Linked DNA regions of Arabidopsis thaliana. The protein of the gene in region 1 interacts with the protein of each later gene in a pairwise test. Each region holds a gene or a part of one and is shown in the gene's direction. Other genes may lie near its edges.

Region 1 (7,688 bases):
CGATTGTTGTCGGTATAGCAACTAGAGCACGTGAGAAAGCTTCAATGGCATGAGATTTTTTGCCAGCAGTTTTCCTTGCAAGCTCATCTACTTCCTTTGCCATCACCATCTCTGGCCATCCACCTCCAAGCAAAACTCTAGTATCATTCACTGTTTGAGAGAGTACACATAAGGCATCATGGAGTGATCTTTCAGCCTCATCTAGGACATGGTGACTGCAAGAAAAAAGAACCCATACAAAAATTGATTAGTGAATTAGAAACAGAATAAAGTTTAGACGAAGTCTTTCAAGTAATGGGAGTGAAAATGGATACCTGGCCCCTCTTAGGACAATTGAACAAGCCTGGCCCATTTCACAACCAGAGAAATGAATCAACTTGTCTTCACCAATCATGATTTCTTCTATAAGCTTGCAATGCCCAAGCTTAACAGACTCTGGGTTGTCAAAGGTCGAAGCAATTTCACCACCAGTAACCAAACCAAGACGCTCTATTCCCTCAAAGTCAGCATGCTCAATAGCAAGTATACCAGCATCAGCAAAGAGTTCCTCAGGGAAATTGTAGATCAACTGCCTGTTAACAAAGCAGTTGATTCCGTGGCCTATGATCTTCTTCACCTTGTCTTTCATTTTTTCCTTCTCAGCCCCTTCAATCTCAGCAACCTTGGTCATGGAATCCACACGGACACGTGCACCGTAAATCTTCACTTTATCGGTATCCATAGCAGTATTAGCTACTAAGATATTTGCATTCTCTATGCGCTTAGGCTGCCCAATTCCTATTTTCTTGTCAAGAATAAACCTACAGGCATAGATTTTAAGTTGAGGTGACATGAGACCATATTACTCGATAGAAGAAGAAACACAACACAACAAGATGACATGATGACTATCAACATTCCAAAATAACACTATAAATGAAATTAAGGTGCGTAAGCTATGAAGAAGAAAAGAAACACGACAGAGTTACCATGAACAGATGAATACTAAAGAAAGATCAATAGCTCAGAAAACTGAATTTGAACTGACGCCAAAGGCACAAAGTGTTGTCTTACCCTTCATCCAAAAACGAATCCTTCAGAGACCCTCCAGGTTTTTTGATGATCTGAATAGCTTCCAAGTTTGTGCTTCCCTGTTGAACGATAAAAGCAGAATGTCAGAAAAAAATCATATAACAATCCAAAACGAAACGATGCAACTATGGGAAAGACTAATGGTGAAATGATAATAGCCTAATTTCATGACATTTCGTCAAAGGAAGATCTTCTTTCATGAGATAACACATAAATCAAGAGAAAAAGAAGGAAGGAACACATGACATTGCTGAATCAGTTTCAAAAGGAGGAAGAAATGGAACCTTTAGCCTGAAAACAGCATCCACGGCCATTTCTGCAAAATGTTCCTTGTCCTGTGAGAGAATTTTGGAACATAAAGTAGTCATCGCAATCTTCAACAAGTCTGACCTAAACTTCTCTGCATTGACAAAAATACAATGCTGTAAAATAACAGTGTGATTTCCGTTCTGTATTCAACTGAAAGGAAATCACCGCTTGAACCCAACAGTCGAAGTAATCACACAAACAAGAAAATGCTATACTTAAATATGTCAGCATAACAAGGTTTAACCATCTCTATAATGATTACCTGCATTGTCCTTGTTATCAATGACTCTTTTCAGTAAAGCATTACGAGCACATTCCGAAGCCATTCTGTAACCTAAGAAACCAGAAAACGAAAAAATTAGAAATCATTGCCATAGTGAGAGAAGCTGATACAAAGTTGACATCTTAACACTTAAAGCTCCAAAAGTGTACCTGCTATGATGGTCATAGGGTGAATCTTAGAAGCCACAAGCTTTTCTGCTTCCCTCAGAAGCTCGCCGGCCAAGACAACAACAGAGGTAGTTCCATCACCAACCTCATCATCTTGAACTTTCGAGATGTCTGAAGAACAAACCAGATACAACGAACTGTGAGAGAAAACCCAACTAAGAAAAAACGAATGTGAAAACTTCATGCCAGAATGTCGCAGGGAAATTACATACCAACAAGAACTTTAGCTGCAGGGTTGTCTATGTGAAGTGACTTGAGAATAGTAGCACCATCGTTAGTAACAGTGACCGCATGACCTCTACCAGTAGATTGCAAGATTTTATCCTAAACAATAATAAAAAGGATTCAACAATAATCAATAGAACCAAATTGAAAGTTTGTAGCTTTCTAAATATTCAGAGATCGGAAATTACCATGCCCTTTGGCCCTAAAGTAGACTTAACCAGATCACTGATAGCCATTGCACCAACAAATGATGCCTAAAAGAGCAACAACAAAAGAAAAGAAAATCAGATTTAAACAGTAGAAGAGTGAATCTGAAAAACCCTAAATCCTAATCGATTCAAAAGACTCACCATCCTCGCACGTTCTCCCTTCTCTTCACTAGCATCATCTTTGAAGATCTTATCGATCTAAATACGAAATAGCTAAGTTCAGTTAACGGAGAGCACTGGGGAAAAGCAAAAGGATTGAAAGAGACGACGGAGGAACATTACCGGCATCGGGAAGAGCGGAAAAAGAAGAAGGAGGCTTCTTCAGTATCGGAGATATCCAAGTTAGTCGAATCTGAGACTAGCGAGAAACAATAGATGGGATCGTTCACGAAGAACGAACAAGCCGAGAGGATCTCGAAATATTGAGTGTGCTTTTGAAGAAGAGTAGAAAATGAGAGGAGAGAGCCAAAACCCAGATCTTTCGGAACCCTAAATGAAACTCGTAAAGACCAAACTACCCTCGTATTTCCCAGATTTCTTATGCGCCCTTCAGTAAAAACTAAAAAGTTTAGATTAACCCTTAACCAAAAAGTTATAAGTTACATTAAGAAGTAAATTTTATAGTTTCGACAATTTTGCATTTTGTTTGATTATATAGAGGAAAAAAAAAAATGTTCCATATACAAATTTGAATTTGGTGATGATTTAGCGGTCGAATACAAAAACAGAAATAAATTAATTCGTGATTTGTATGCGAATATTGTTACTAAAAAAAACTATAAATGTAAAGAGGCTTATAAAATAGAAAGAGAAACATTATAAATGTAAGCAGTCAAGGTCCATTTTAGAAGTCATTTTAAGACGACTAAGCCCAACAGTACTTTAAGAGCCCAATGAATCAAGGTCCAGCAAACTCAATTAGTTTAACGTCTCAGCCACTTATAAATTATACACGTTTGGAGTTCCGGATAACCGAAATGAGAAAGCATGTCCCACATAGAAGGCCAACGACACCGTATCATATTCGAGCACGTTTCTAATTACCCTCTTGTTGTCTTTTACTGTCGTAGCACCAAAAGTCAAACAATAAAAATCAATATCTATCGCCAGGTGTCAAATTACAGGAGCTTCTGAGAAGGATAAATCTCGGAGGTTCCCGGTCTGAACGACGTAGAGACGAAGCGAAACAAAAGTACTCTAAGGGAGAGAAGTATCAAAATTCTCATCGGAAAAAGACAGATCTACAAATTTTGAGAGACAAGCCATGACTAAGGTGAAAGATGAGCCACGCGCTTCCGTTGAAGGTGGATGTGGTGTTGCCGACGGTGACGGCGGCGCGGCTGAGATCGGCGGTACCGGATCTGTTGAGAAATCGATTAACGAAGTTAGGTATGAGCTGTGTTTACTGTTGATTTCACATGTTTTTATCTGTTTCTCTCTTTGCTTTGAGTTTAGTACTTAAAATTGTATCTTGTTTCTGATAAGGAAGATCAGCATTTCGATCTGGTTACTTTAGTTTCTATTTAGGGAAAGTCATATTTCTCAATGGAACCAATTTGTTTTTTGGCTGGAACAATTGGATTCTTAACAAACTTGTGTTTTTCAAAGTCCTTTAATGCATACATAAGTTTTCATGTGAATTTGATTAATAGAACTTCACCGTTAACATGTGAAATTGGAGAGACTGGATTCATATGTGGAGAGTTTTCTTAATGTTGCATCAATAAGTCCATCTTTATAGTGTCGGTCACAAGTTTAATAGATCTTCTGCTATTGAAGGTCCACGGAGATTCAAACCGCTGAGCCAACGGTTCCTCCAAATCAACTTACTATTTTCTTTGGTGGAAGTGTTACTGTGTTTGATGGACTTCCATCAGAAAAGGTTGGTCCATTAGAGCTTTGTTGTTGTCAGAAAAACTTCAGAATTTCTGTTCTCACTGTGATCTATGCCTATAGGTTCAAGAAATCCTTCGTATTGCTGCTAAAGCAATGGAGACAAAGAATTCTACAAGCATCAGTCCTGTCTCATCGCCAGCACTGAACAGAGCTCCTTCTTTCTCAAGCACATCTAATGTGGCATCACCAGCTGCACAGCCATTTCCTATTCAGCCAATCTCGTTTTGCAGATCCACGGCTGGTAAGTATTCGATTCAACTGGTTATAGTAATCTTCAAACCTTGAAAATGGATACTCTCATTAGTTTCTTACAATTATGTTTGCCGTAACAGATCTACCTATTGCAAGGAGGCATTCGCTTCAACGATTCCTCGAGAAAAGACGGGACAGGTATGCAGCCTTTAAAATTACACTTCATCCTTCTCCATTTCAATGGAAATTCAAATCTGATCTATTTTATTCAGTTTTTGATTGATTACTAATACAGAGCTTGTTAATGTACCTGTGAGAGACTTGTAAAGACAGATTGATCATAATGTTTAACCTTGATATTGCATCTAACAATAACATTCACTTTTTTTTATCTGCAGATTGGTCAACAAAAACCCTTACCCTACTTCAGACTTCAAAAAGACAGATGTCCCAACAGGCAATGTCTCTATCAAGGAGGAATTTCCAACTGCTTAGCAGAAGATCAAACCTCCACATTAAGCTTATAAGCAAACTAAGTAAAACGTTTTGTCAATATAGTAATTAATATGATAATCTATCATGTACGCTGCTGTGTGTAATGTGTTGTATGATAGTGTCTGTATAGGTTTGCTAGACAAACCGAAGATTGTTTCCATGTCTGGGAGTGGTCAGATATGTTTGCCATTTTACAATTCTACTGAAGAAACTATTGTAGTTAGTAACACTGTCCTAGAGTCTATCTAACTAATGACTCTTTGATGTTATGTTATTGAACTTGTCATCTCTTCAAGATACAATTGTGTGTAAAGTAAAGAAGTCTGTGTTGTTATTATAAGCTTTCATACAAAAGACATTGAATCTATATGTAAAATGGGATTTATAATTGTGAATGATGAACAACAATTCGGAGATGTTTCAAGGAAAGACAATGGGAGTGTGCCATAACTGATTGAAATTTAAACGTACATATATTCACCTCCGCGGACAGCATTCTCTGCGCCCTTCCTCTCTTCTTCGGCCTCTTTCTCTCTCTCTTTCCAGTTTTCGTATTTCTGATCGTCTGTTGGTAATTCATGGCGGCATATAGGGCAAGAGTTATGCTCGTCCTGCCATAAAACAATATGAGCATAAGCTTTATGTTCTTACTTACTAGTAAGCTTGAAAGAATGGGATTTTTTTTTTTATACCAGCCAAGGCTTTAGGCAAGGAGGGTGAAATGTGTGCTTGCATGGCAATTCCTGCATCTTGTCGCCAATAACTAGATTCTCCTTGCAGATGCAACATTCTGCCTCTGCTCCAAACTTTTTAAGCAATTCCTCGGTGAAAATAATGACTGGGAGTTTCTCTACAACTTCTTTACTTGCCGGTGGAGCTCTTGGTGGTCCACCATCATCTAGTATCTGCATAGAACACATCATATATCACTTTTCAATCATGAAGCTAAGAAAAAGACGCTACCAATACAATATTAGAGGTTGAGGTTAAACACTCTTGATACAGATGAGTGAGACAACCAAGTGGAGAAACTCAATATGCAAAAAACAACATATGAGTAGAATGCGGATGATTAAGAATTGCTTTCATCTCTATCTTTAGGTGAAGAAACTTGTGATATCAGCTATGTGTGATAGTACATAATCTAAAACTAGTAAGGAAGAAAAGAGAAGGCATTACATCTGGAATGATCATGTCAAGACCATTGATAAGTTCTTGCATCAAGTTAGCAGTTTCCCCAATAGTGTTTTCAGTAGGACCATTAGAGGATTCACCACCAACGATAGAAGCGAAAGCAGACATGAGATTCTGCTGTACTAGCCACTGAGGCTGTGGCGGCTCACGATCAACCGTAAGATGTCCCTCAAAAAGATAACCTGCAAAAAATTCACAAGAGAAATAAAAATCATCTCCAGATAAATTTCACTTAAAACCATCAAAAGCCAAACTAAATGTTTCACAAACCTTGTGAGCTCTCTGTTGGCTGATTATCTACTTCGCTTAACTGCTCCTTAGCTTGAGCAACGCAAGATTTCAAATGTTTCTTCTCAGAAGCATCAGAGACAAGTCGCTCAGCCTCTTCGAAAAGACTCAGTCCAGCAACCCAAAATCCAGTAGCTGTATATCTTGTCTTAAGAACCGTAGCGACACGAGATACAACTATATAGAACTGCAATGGCAATCAAATCAATACTATGTCACAGAGGGTAACTAAACAAAAACAGATCGGATTAAATGAAATTTTTGACATGAACATGAACTTTCTCCACAATTGAAATAGAAAAACAATAAAAGAAAGATATTTGATTCCTGATTCAATCCTCAAAAGTTAAACCCATCATCAGACATAAGCAATGAGTAAACGTCAAGGCAGGCATAAACCCTAACAATTCCGAATAATTTTGAATCTATTGATCCGAAAATCTAAGAATAAAAACCAACCTGTTTGCGGAGAGAAGGAGAGGAAGAAGAGTAGTGATCACGGAGAAGATTATGAATAGAACAAACGGATGCTTCGAATCTCAGCTTTTTGTTCAGCTGTTTCTGAAGATCATCAAGCTCAAGCTTCAAGCTTTCCTCGGAAGGAGACGGTGAAGACGATGCATCCATTCAGAAATTTATTTCTTAGAGTTAAGGAGAATACTCAGGGGTTTCGAATGATTTTGGGGATTTTGTAAGAATGATGCAAAAGAAGAACCAATCTCTTGTCTTCTGGGATTTTTGTAGGAGACGAGTTTTCTTGATCAGGAGGAAAGGACGAAGTCGGTCGGTTAATATAGTTCAGTTCGGTTTGGTTCGGTTCAAGACCAAAAGAACAATTGTTAATTACCAATTGTTCGGTTTGGTTTGAGACCAATTTTTTGTTGGTAAATACTAAATCGTATGCGGCTATATTAGACCAAACCGTATACATTATTTGTTTTTTGTAGTATGATTGTAACTGTAGATAAACATAGTGTATATTGGACTTTCTGAGCCTTCCACGCTTTAATTTGAGATGTTGAACGCAATGCCTGTGGACGTTAATATCATTAGTCTATTAATTTTGAACTAAGAATAATCTTAACACAAAAAAGAAGTCCATGGATTTACTAAATCAACCTTCAAGGTGACCACATGAACCTGACAGAGTAAAAGGTTTTGATCCTATCCCATTTTAAAAGTCAAGTCATAATCATATTCCAAAACAAAATAAAAAAAACAAGACAAGTATTTCTTCAACTCATAAACTCATACAGAAGCAGTAGAATAGCTCCAAACTCCATACCAAGGTCACTTCACCTTCTAATTTCTCAAGTCTTCCTGCGACTAACACGAGCAACAAACCCTGTTTTGATCGGA
Region 2 (7,688 bases), 2.7 Mb from region 1:
TGAGTTTTATTGAAATGTTGTTTTTCGGAGTGCTCTCAAGCTATCATAACGGTCTTGTTTAGATGTACTTAGAGAGGATAGATTCAACAACTCCCTGAGCTATGGGGTGATAAGTTTCTCGAGCTTCTGCAAACACCTGTTTTGCCAGCTGCTTCTCTTCTGTTCCACCAGATTGTGCAAGAGCAGTGAAGAGTGGACGCAGGTACTTCATCCTTCCTACCTCTTTTAGTGTTTTCTTCACTTCCCCATGGTACTCTCTGCACTTGGATGTGACTGCAAGTTGCAGAAACGAGACCTTCACTTCATAGTCTTTCGATTCTGCCAGTCTGTACCGCTTGTCCAAGGCCATGACCTGATTCATCAATGAGCAAAGTGGGTGTTAGCCATAGGTTTGAACCTGATCACCAATCCTTCCTTTGTTGACTAGCATTGTCATTAACAAACAAGATAAGATCCTAACTCTTGCAAAGCCAATACACTTTCCACAATCATGAACTCTCCCAAAGCCAAGAGGGTTTTTCCACAATCATTATTCACTAGCCCCACATTAATCCAAGAGTAACTATTGAGCTAACCTAACTGACAGTTAGTTAGGCCTTTTTCTCCTCCTTATGTAAGCTTATTGAGTAGTTCAACCTAAGTCAAGCCATTTCCCATTATCTTAGAGGAAGAAATAAAGATTCACTCAGCAAGTACAGCTCCAAGTACAGCTCCCATTAACTTAGAGGAAGAAAGGAGTAAAGAGTACCTGAGAAGGTTCACATGATTTAGGAAGATTCTCCAAGTACAGCTCCCATTCCTGTCCGTTCCACTCAGCAACATCATCCTCACTTGGCATCTTTCCTTCCTTAAACTCTTTCGCCAGGGATATGATCTTTGTGTAAATGGTTGAGACTGGTTCATATGCATCCTCTGGTATACCAACGCCCTCAGTCCACAGCTGTAGATTGATCTCTTTCTCTATGCCAGGGATGTTTGCTTTCAGGAATTCAAGAAATGTGTTTGTATCGATTGACTTGAACTTGAAAGTAGCAATGTATTTCTTGAGGAATTCGTCAAAAGCAGTTCTTCCAATCTGAAAGTTTTCCAGTAAATAGATGACCATTATTGTAAACATTACATAACAAAACACCTAAGCGAAGAGGGCAATTCAACTAACCTGGCGTTCAATTCGCAACACAAATTGGAATCCTTTTTCATATGGGACCTGAGAATATACATCATCTGGATCAACACCTTCTTGTTTGTTCCACAGTTTAGTGCACTCCAAGTTGTCCTTAAACCGTTCCATTTCATCAGTTAAACCCCTCCAACCAATGCCAATGTTCAAAGTAGCTATATCCGCCCCTTGAACAACCTCCACAATTCTCCTCTCTGCGTAAGTTGTAAATCCCTATTGCCATGAACATGAAATAAACACTTTCCCATCAACAAGGCAAACTCTAAAAACGGACACACAGTTACACATCCTAATTTGTAGCTAAAAGAAGCAAAAGCACAAGACAATTCAAAGCTACCTCATTCAACCAGAAGTGTTCATTGTTGATATTAGTGATCAAATTCCCAGTCCAGCTATGTGCGAGCTCGTGAGCTACAACTTGAGCTCCAGTGGCGTCTCCTTTGATAACAGTAGGCGTCAGGAAAACCATTCTTGGATTCTCCATACCTCCATAAGGAAAACTCGGAGGCAGCACCAGTAAGTCAAATCTCTCCCACTCGTAATCTCCAAACAGCTTCTCCCCTTGCTTGATCATATCCTCCGTTCCTGCAAACTCCAGAGCAGCCGCATCTAGAACTTCAATGGCGGCAGATTCTGTGTATACCCGAGTCCTAGGTCCAACTTCCCGAAACCCTAACTCACCAACGGCAAAAGCAAATAGATAAGGCGGTATAGGCTGTTCCATAGCAAACTCTTCCACAACTCTATCCTCACCACACCACAGTGACGACCCCAGCGACCCAGCCTCGAGATGTTTAGCCTCCTCAGGAACCGCAAGCCTACGACGGACGTGGCGAGCCGACATGACGGCAGAGAGCGAATTCGGTATGTTCATAACGACGTCGTAACGGATCCTCGCGGCAGGAGTGTCCTGGCATGGGAAAATGGATCTGGCGTGAATCGCTTGACACTGCGTGTAGACATAAGGATGCAATTTGGAGAAAGTTTGAAGCGGCGAAAGCCACTGGAGAGCGGAAGCAGAAGGCGAAGTGGAGTAGACAATTAGCAGTGAAGATTGACCGGAGAGGACTACGACAACTTCGGTGCCCCGAATTCGATCCGGTGTGGTGGAGACGGAGTAAGGGATAGGCTCGAGAGTGAGAGGATCGAGGACCATAGCAATGGAAATGCAGCGAGTATCAAGAGAGAGTTCGCCGGAGAAGGCGGAGGAGAGAGTGAGGAGAGCGGAGCCATGGATTATGGAGGTGTTGAAATCGAGGTAGAGGGAGAGAGCGACATGCGTGGTGAGAGGATGAGAGGAATCGGTGAAAGAGTGTGGATCAATGGGTGCCATTGCTGAGTGAGAGAAGCTTGCTTAGGGTTTTGAGGAAAGGGGCAGTTAGAGAGGTGGAGAAGAGAGTATAAAGCGGGAGAAAAAGAAAAAATGAAGAATTGTTGTTCGATGGTACCATTTTATGATGATAAATAATGTATTTTTGGAATAATTTGGTTAATGGAGAATCATTTAGTGCATAAAGTTGAAACCGTTAGATATTAAACGGCGACTAAATACAATGTTAAACCCAAGTTGGATGAACCAAAAGCACACCAAGCCACCAACAATCCTGAGATTTTTAACAACCATCTTTTTGGGCTTGAGCCTCTATTGAGCTTCAAGTTTTAGGTCCATGAGTTATACACTCACACGAGTAATCTACTTAGCAACAAACAACGAGTTTACATTTTGGTATTGGTGTCAGATTTATCGTCTCATTATTTGGTGAACTCTATTACAAGATCAAACAATCTATTTGTTTTTGCATTTGGCTCAAAAGCTACTTGGTAAAAACTTCGCCAAAAAAAAAAACTCTCAGTAAAAATTACAATTATTTTTTCCTGATGGTTTAAGTTGTTGATGACAACAAATATAAAATCTGATGGTTGACGATTACTACTATTAGGAGAGTCAATAAACGGGTTCGAGCACAAGTGCTGACGGCACCCACCCGTCAAAACCGACGAAACCAGAGAGCCCTCGAGACTCAACCCCAAATAAAATTGGAAAAAAATGAAAATAAAAATAAAAATGATGATATAAAACCCTGAAGAAGAACCTTTTTCACATTTTTCTTACAATTTTTATTCTTGCTTGCTCGTGTCTGATTTTTCCCAGCCAATTTTGATCTACCTTTCAAAAATTCCACCTTTTTCTTTCTTCTCCATGGATCTGTTCTTCTCTCCTTGATCTGGATCGACTTTACTGAGTTTCCTTCCCCCCCCCCCCCCCCCAGATATGTTCTGAGGAACTCTCTCTACTGAATTGATTGGTCTTTCACTCCCTTCTTACTCTTTGATCTCGCGACCTAAATTAATTTAGGGCTTTCTCTTTTCGGAGCTCTCATGGTTGGGAGAGTCAAGGTCCCTTGTTGTTCCGTGTGCCACACGCGGTATAATGAAGATGAGAGAGTTCCTTTATTGCTTCAATGCGGCCATGGCTTCTGCAAAGATTGTCTTTCCAAGATGTTCTCTACTTCTTCCGACACAACCCTCACTTGTCCCCGGTGTCGCCACGTGTCTGTTGTTGGGAACTCTGTTCAGGGTCTCAGGAAGAACTACGCTATGCTTGCTCTCATTCACGCCGCATCCGGCGGCGCTAACTTCGATTGCGATTACACGGATGATGAGGATGACGACGATGAAGAAGATGGTAGTGATGAAGATGGAGCTCGTGCCGCTCGTGGATTTCATGCCTCAAGCTCGATTAATAGCTTGTGTGGTCCAGTGATCGAGGTCGGAGCTCACCCGGAGATGAAGCTGGTGAGGCAGATTGGGGAAGAGAGTAGTAGTGGTGGTTTTGGAGGTGTGGAGATGTGGGATGCAACTGTTGCAGGCGGTGGTGGACGGTGTAAGCACCGTGTGGCGGTGAAAAAGATGACTTTGACGGAGGACATGGATGTTGAGTGGATGCAGGGACAGCTTGAGAGCTTGCGGAGAGCATCCATGTGGTGTAGGAATGTTTGTACTTTCCATGGGGTTGTGAAGATGGATGGATCTCTTTGTCTTTTGATGGACAGGTGCTTTGGGTCTGTTCAGTCTGAGATGCAACGCAATGAAGGCAGACTTACTTTGGAGCAGATTCTAAGGTTCCTCTTTTGCTTCTCTTATTCTTTTTTTTTGCCTAGTATCTGGCTTTTACTGTGATCGTTTCTGTGCTTAAAGTCTCAAACTTTGATAGCCTGTTCCCTAATTAGAAATTACTGGACTAGACCCGACTTGGTTTTTTGTGATTGCTATTAGAAATATATATTGTAAGTGCACAGTTTTTCAGATTCTAGTGAAACAAGCAACTAAAACCTGGTGTCATTTGCCAAAAGGGCAACTTGTAAGATAACTTTAGTTTAGATGTTCTTAAAAAGCTAGGCACGAATTATAGTAGTTGTCATCTCTCTTTGTCATTACCAGCTGCAGCTACTTTTCATCTGTCAATGCCTCAATAGACAAACATTTTTTGGACTAGTCCTTTCCTTTTTAGTAGTGGATCCTTGAACCTACGTTTGCAAGATATCTTTGAGAAAGCCCTTTACATTAGTATGCTTCCTTCTAAAGTATATGACCAGAAATCATTTTTCAACGAACTGACATATCAAATCATGCAAAAAATTGTACGAATTGTTATACATTAATTTATCAAAGGACGCATCATCTAAAGATGATCCTTATTTTGTTGTCCTGGTTCTAATATTACCTTCAATTCACTTGTTTGTATTTCCTCCTATTTTCTGTTTTTAACTGAATTGCGTCATTTGGGACTATTAAATGTAAGCACTAATGCGTAAATGAGTGTTTTGTATTCTCCTTTCATATCGTGCTCATGTTGTTTTAAGTTTACAACTTAGAATATTCCTTCAGTGACCAACATATGTATTATTCCATTGCTCTTGTTGTGATATTAAATTTTACCAACTGTAGATATGGGGCTGATGTTGCTCGAGGGGTTGCAGAACTCCATGCAGCAGGTGTTATCTGTATGAATATAAAACCTTCCAATCTTCTTTTGGATGCAAGCGGCAATGCTGTGGTTTCTGATTATGGGCTCGCTCCCATCCTAAAGAAGCCAACATGCCAGAAAACTCGACCAGAGTTTGATTCCTCAAAAGTCACTCTATACACGGACTGTGTAACACTCAGTCCACACTACACTGCCCCAGAGGCTTGGGGACCGGTGAAAAAACTTTTTTGGGAGGATGCAAGTGGTGTATCTCCAGAATCAGATGCATGGAGTTTTGGCTGTACGTTAGTAGAGATGTGCACTGGATCCACTCCGTATGTGAAGCCTCTTCCTAGTTGATATTTCAGTTGTGTTTTGTGTCTGCCATTGTACTAACTGTCACTTAATTTTACAGGTGGGATGGTCTTAGTAGAGAAGAAATTTTTCAAGCTGTTGTGAAAGCCCGAAAAGTACCACCACAGTATGAACGCATAGTGGGTGTGGGAATTCCTCGGGAATTATGGAAAATGATTGGTGAATGTCTTCAGTTTAAACCGTCGAAAAGACCAACCTTTAATGCAATGCTTGCTACATTTCTTCGTCATCTACAAGAGATACCACGTAGCCCTTCAGCAAGCCCTGATAAGTAAGAGTTTTAAGTCCCTAAGATTACTTAGTTTTATGGTTTCCCTGTTTTCGTTGCTTGTCAGTAAAGAAGACCCTTTCACTTGTGTTAAGATTAATATTAGCACCAACACCTAAGATTATTTTTGTCATCATGCCTATATTCCTTCGCCTAACAATAATATAAACCATGTATGATGTAGTGGGATTGCCAAAATATGTGAAGTAAACATTGTACAAGCACCTCGCGCGACTAACATAGGGGTCTTTCAGGATAACCCTAACAACCTACATCGGGTTGTTTTGGAGGGAGACTTTGAGGGTGTAAGGTTAGTATCTGTTAGGAATTCTAGTTAATCCTTTTGTTCGCACTAGCTATAAACAACCTGTTCTCAACTACATTGGTTTGATTTTTGTTTTGGAGTAGAAATATACTTGCAAAGGCTGCAGCTGGAGGCGGTGGAAGCTCTGTGCGATCTCTATTAGAGGCGCAAAACGCTGATGGTCAATCGGCTCTTCACTTAGCTTGCAGACGTGGCAGTGCTGAACTTGTGGAGGCTATACTGGAGTATGGGGAGGCTAATGTAGATATCGTGGACAAAGATGGGGATCCTCCTCTTGTCTTTGCTTTAGCAGCTGGATCTCCACAATGTGTTCACGTTCTCATTAAAAAGGGGGCTAATGTGAGGTCCAGACTGCGGGAAGGATCTGGCCCATCTGTAGCTCACGTGTGTTCGTACCATGGCCAACCTGATTGTATGCGTGTAAGTCTCTGCTCCCGAGGAAGCTATCAGTCACTTTAAAGCTTCCACAACATGATCGCAAATCTTCCACTTATGTGAAGTGTATCAGATATTATGCTTGTCTTATATCTATTATCATGTTAATAACTATTCTCTGCTAATTGGTACTATCAATAGGAATTGCTGGTAGCTGGAGCCGATCCAAATGCAGTGGATGATGAAGGTGAAACTGTGCTTCATCGAGCTGTTGCCAAGAAATACACAGATTGTGCCATTGTTATATTGGAAAATGGGGGATCTAGATCAATGACTGTTTCAAATGCGAAGTGCCTGACGTAAGTACAGAAATGACCTCTTTCTATGCTAGGTAGACGGGACCATAAAATTTGGCACGGATAGATTACTACTGGGCCATTTTAAAGCAAGTTCTGTTTGGTTTTATTTTGTAGTTCTTATACTCCTATTTGCATCTACATTATAACTTATTTTGAGCATTGTATGTGCTTAAAAATGTCTACTACATTAACCTGTTTGGATAAGTCACAATGAGGTAGCTGAACCATTTAATGTGTACCTTGGTTCTTTTCTTTCTTAGGAAAGCATATTTCATTTTGTAAACCTATGTTTCTGATGTTTTATGCTACAGATCTTTATACTTTTATGTTTGTTTCAGACCGTTACATATGTGTGTAGCAACATGGAATGTTGCTGTTATCAAGAGATGGGTGGAAGTTTCCAGTCCAGAAGAAATTTCTCAGGCAATTAATATCCCAAGCCCAGTTGGCACTGCTCTGTGTATGGCTGCTTCTATAAGGAAAGATCATGAAAAGGGTAATGATGAAATCGTAGTATCTTTTGTTTGGTGAATTGCTTGGTAGAAGTATGACTATATCTGATATATTTTATGAGGATCTTTACGAAGTTTTATCTTTATTTGATGACACGATGATTATGGTCATCTCTATAAGATAAGAATTTTTTCAAGCACATTTCCAATGGTATTTTATGTAGTACATCTAAAAGATCAGTTACTTGTAGTTTTGCACATTACCAAAAAAGGATGTTATTTGAACTTTTTCCTGCTATTTCTTACAAGAGTATTGTATCAAAGTTGAATTTATTGGATGTTATGTCATTATTCGTCTTACCATATGAATCAGTTTACTTAACATGT

The links. Proteins that work in one complex are often made in the same cells at the same time.
Region 2: the proteins of JAZ12 (region 1) and KEG interact in a two-hybrid assay, tested with the Arabidopsis thaliana proteins (one study listed by BioGRID).

The regions. Positions count from the first base shown.
Region 1 is NC_003076.8:7,087,355-7,095,042, forward strand, and holds JAZ12 (jasmonate-zim-domain protein 12), read left to right. Parts: upstream 1-3,349; 5' UTR 3,350-3,528; coding exon 3,529-3,653; intron 3,654-4,043; coding exon 4,044-4,146; intron 4,147-4,220; coding exon 4,221-4,401; intron 4,402-4,492; coding exon 4,493-4,550; intron 4,551-4,560; exon of another isoform or gene 4,561-4,750; coding exon 4,751-4,847; 3' UTR 4,848-5,185; downstream 5,186-7,688. Other genes in the region: AT5G20890 (TCP-1/cpn60 chaperonin family protein), read right to left, coding at 1-215, 315-800, 1,054-1,130, 1,356-1,471, 1,643-1,714, 1,813-1,941, 2,043-2,154, 2,244-2,309 and 2 more; AIP2 (RING/U-box superfamily protein), read right to left, coding at 5,309-5,458, 5,540-5,752, 6,027-6,223, 6,312-6,516, 6,789-6,956; EIF2 BETA (eukaryotic translation initiation factor 2 beta subunit), read right to left, coding at 7,640-7,688. UniProt on the Arabidopsis thaliana protein: Repressor of jasmonate responses.
Region 2 is NC_003076.8:4,342,059-4,349,746, forward strand, and holds the start of KEG (protein kinases;ubiquitin-protein ligase), read left to right. Parts: upstream 1-3,143; 5' UTR 3,144-3,559; coding exon 3,560-4,302; intron 4,303-5,128; coding exon 5,129-5,482; intron 5,483-5,562; coding exon 5,563-5,793; intron 5,794-5,974; coding exon 5,975-6,100; intron 6,101-6,198; coding exon 6,199-6,535; intron 6,536-6,691; coding exon 6,692-6,849; intron 6,850-7,187; coding exon 7,188-7,345; intron 7,346-7,688. Other genes in the region: AT5G13520 (peptidase M1 family protein), read right to left, coding at 59-352, 749-1,075, 1,160-1,393, 1,518-2,513. UniProt on the Arabidopsis thaliana protein: Mediates E2-dependent protein ubiquitination. Acts as a negative regulator of abscisic acid signaling. Required for ABI5 degradation, by mediating its ubiquitination.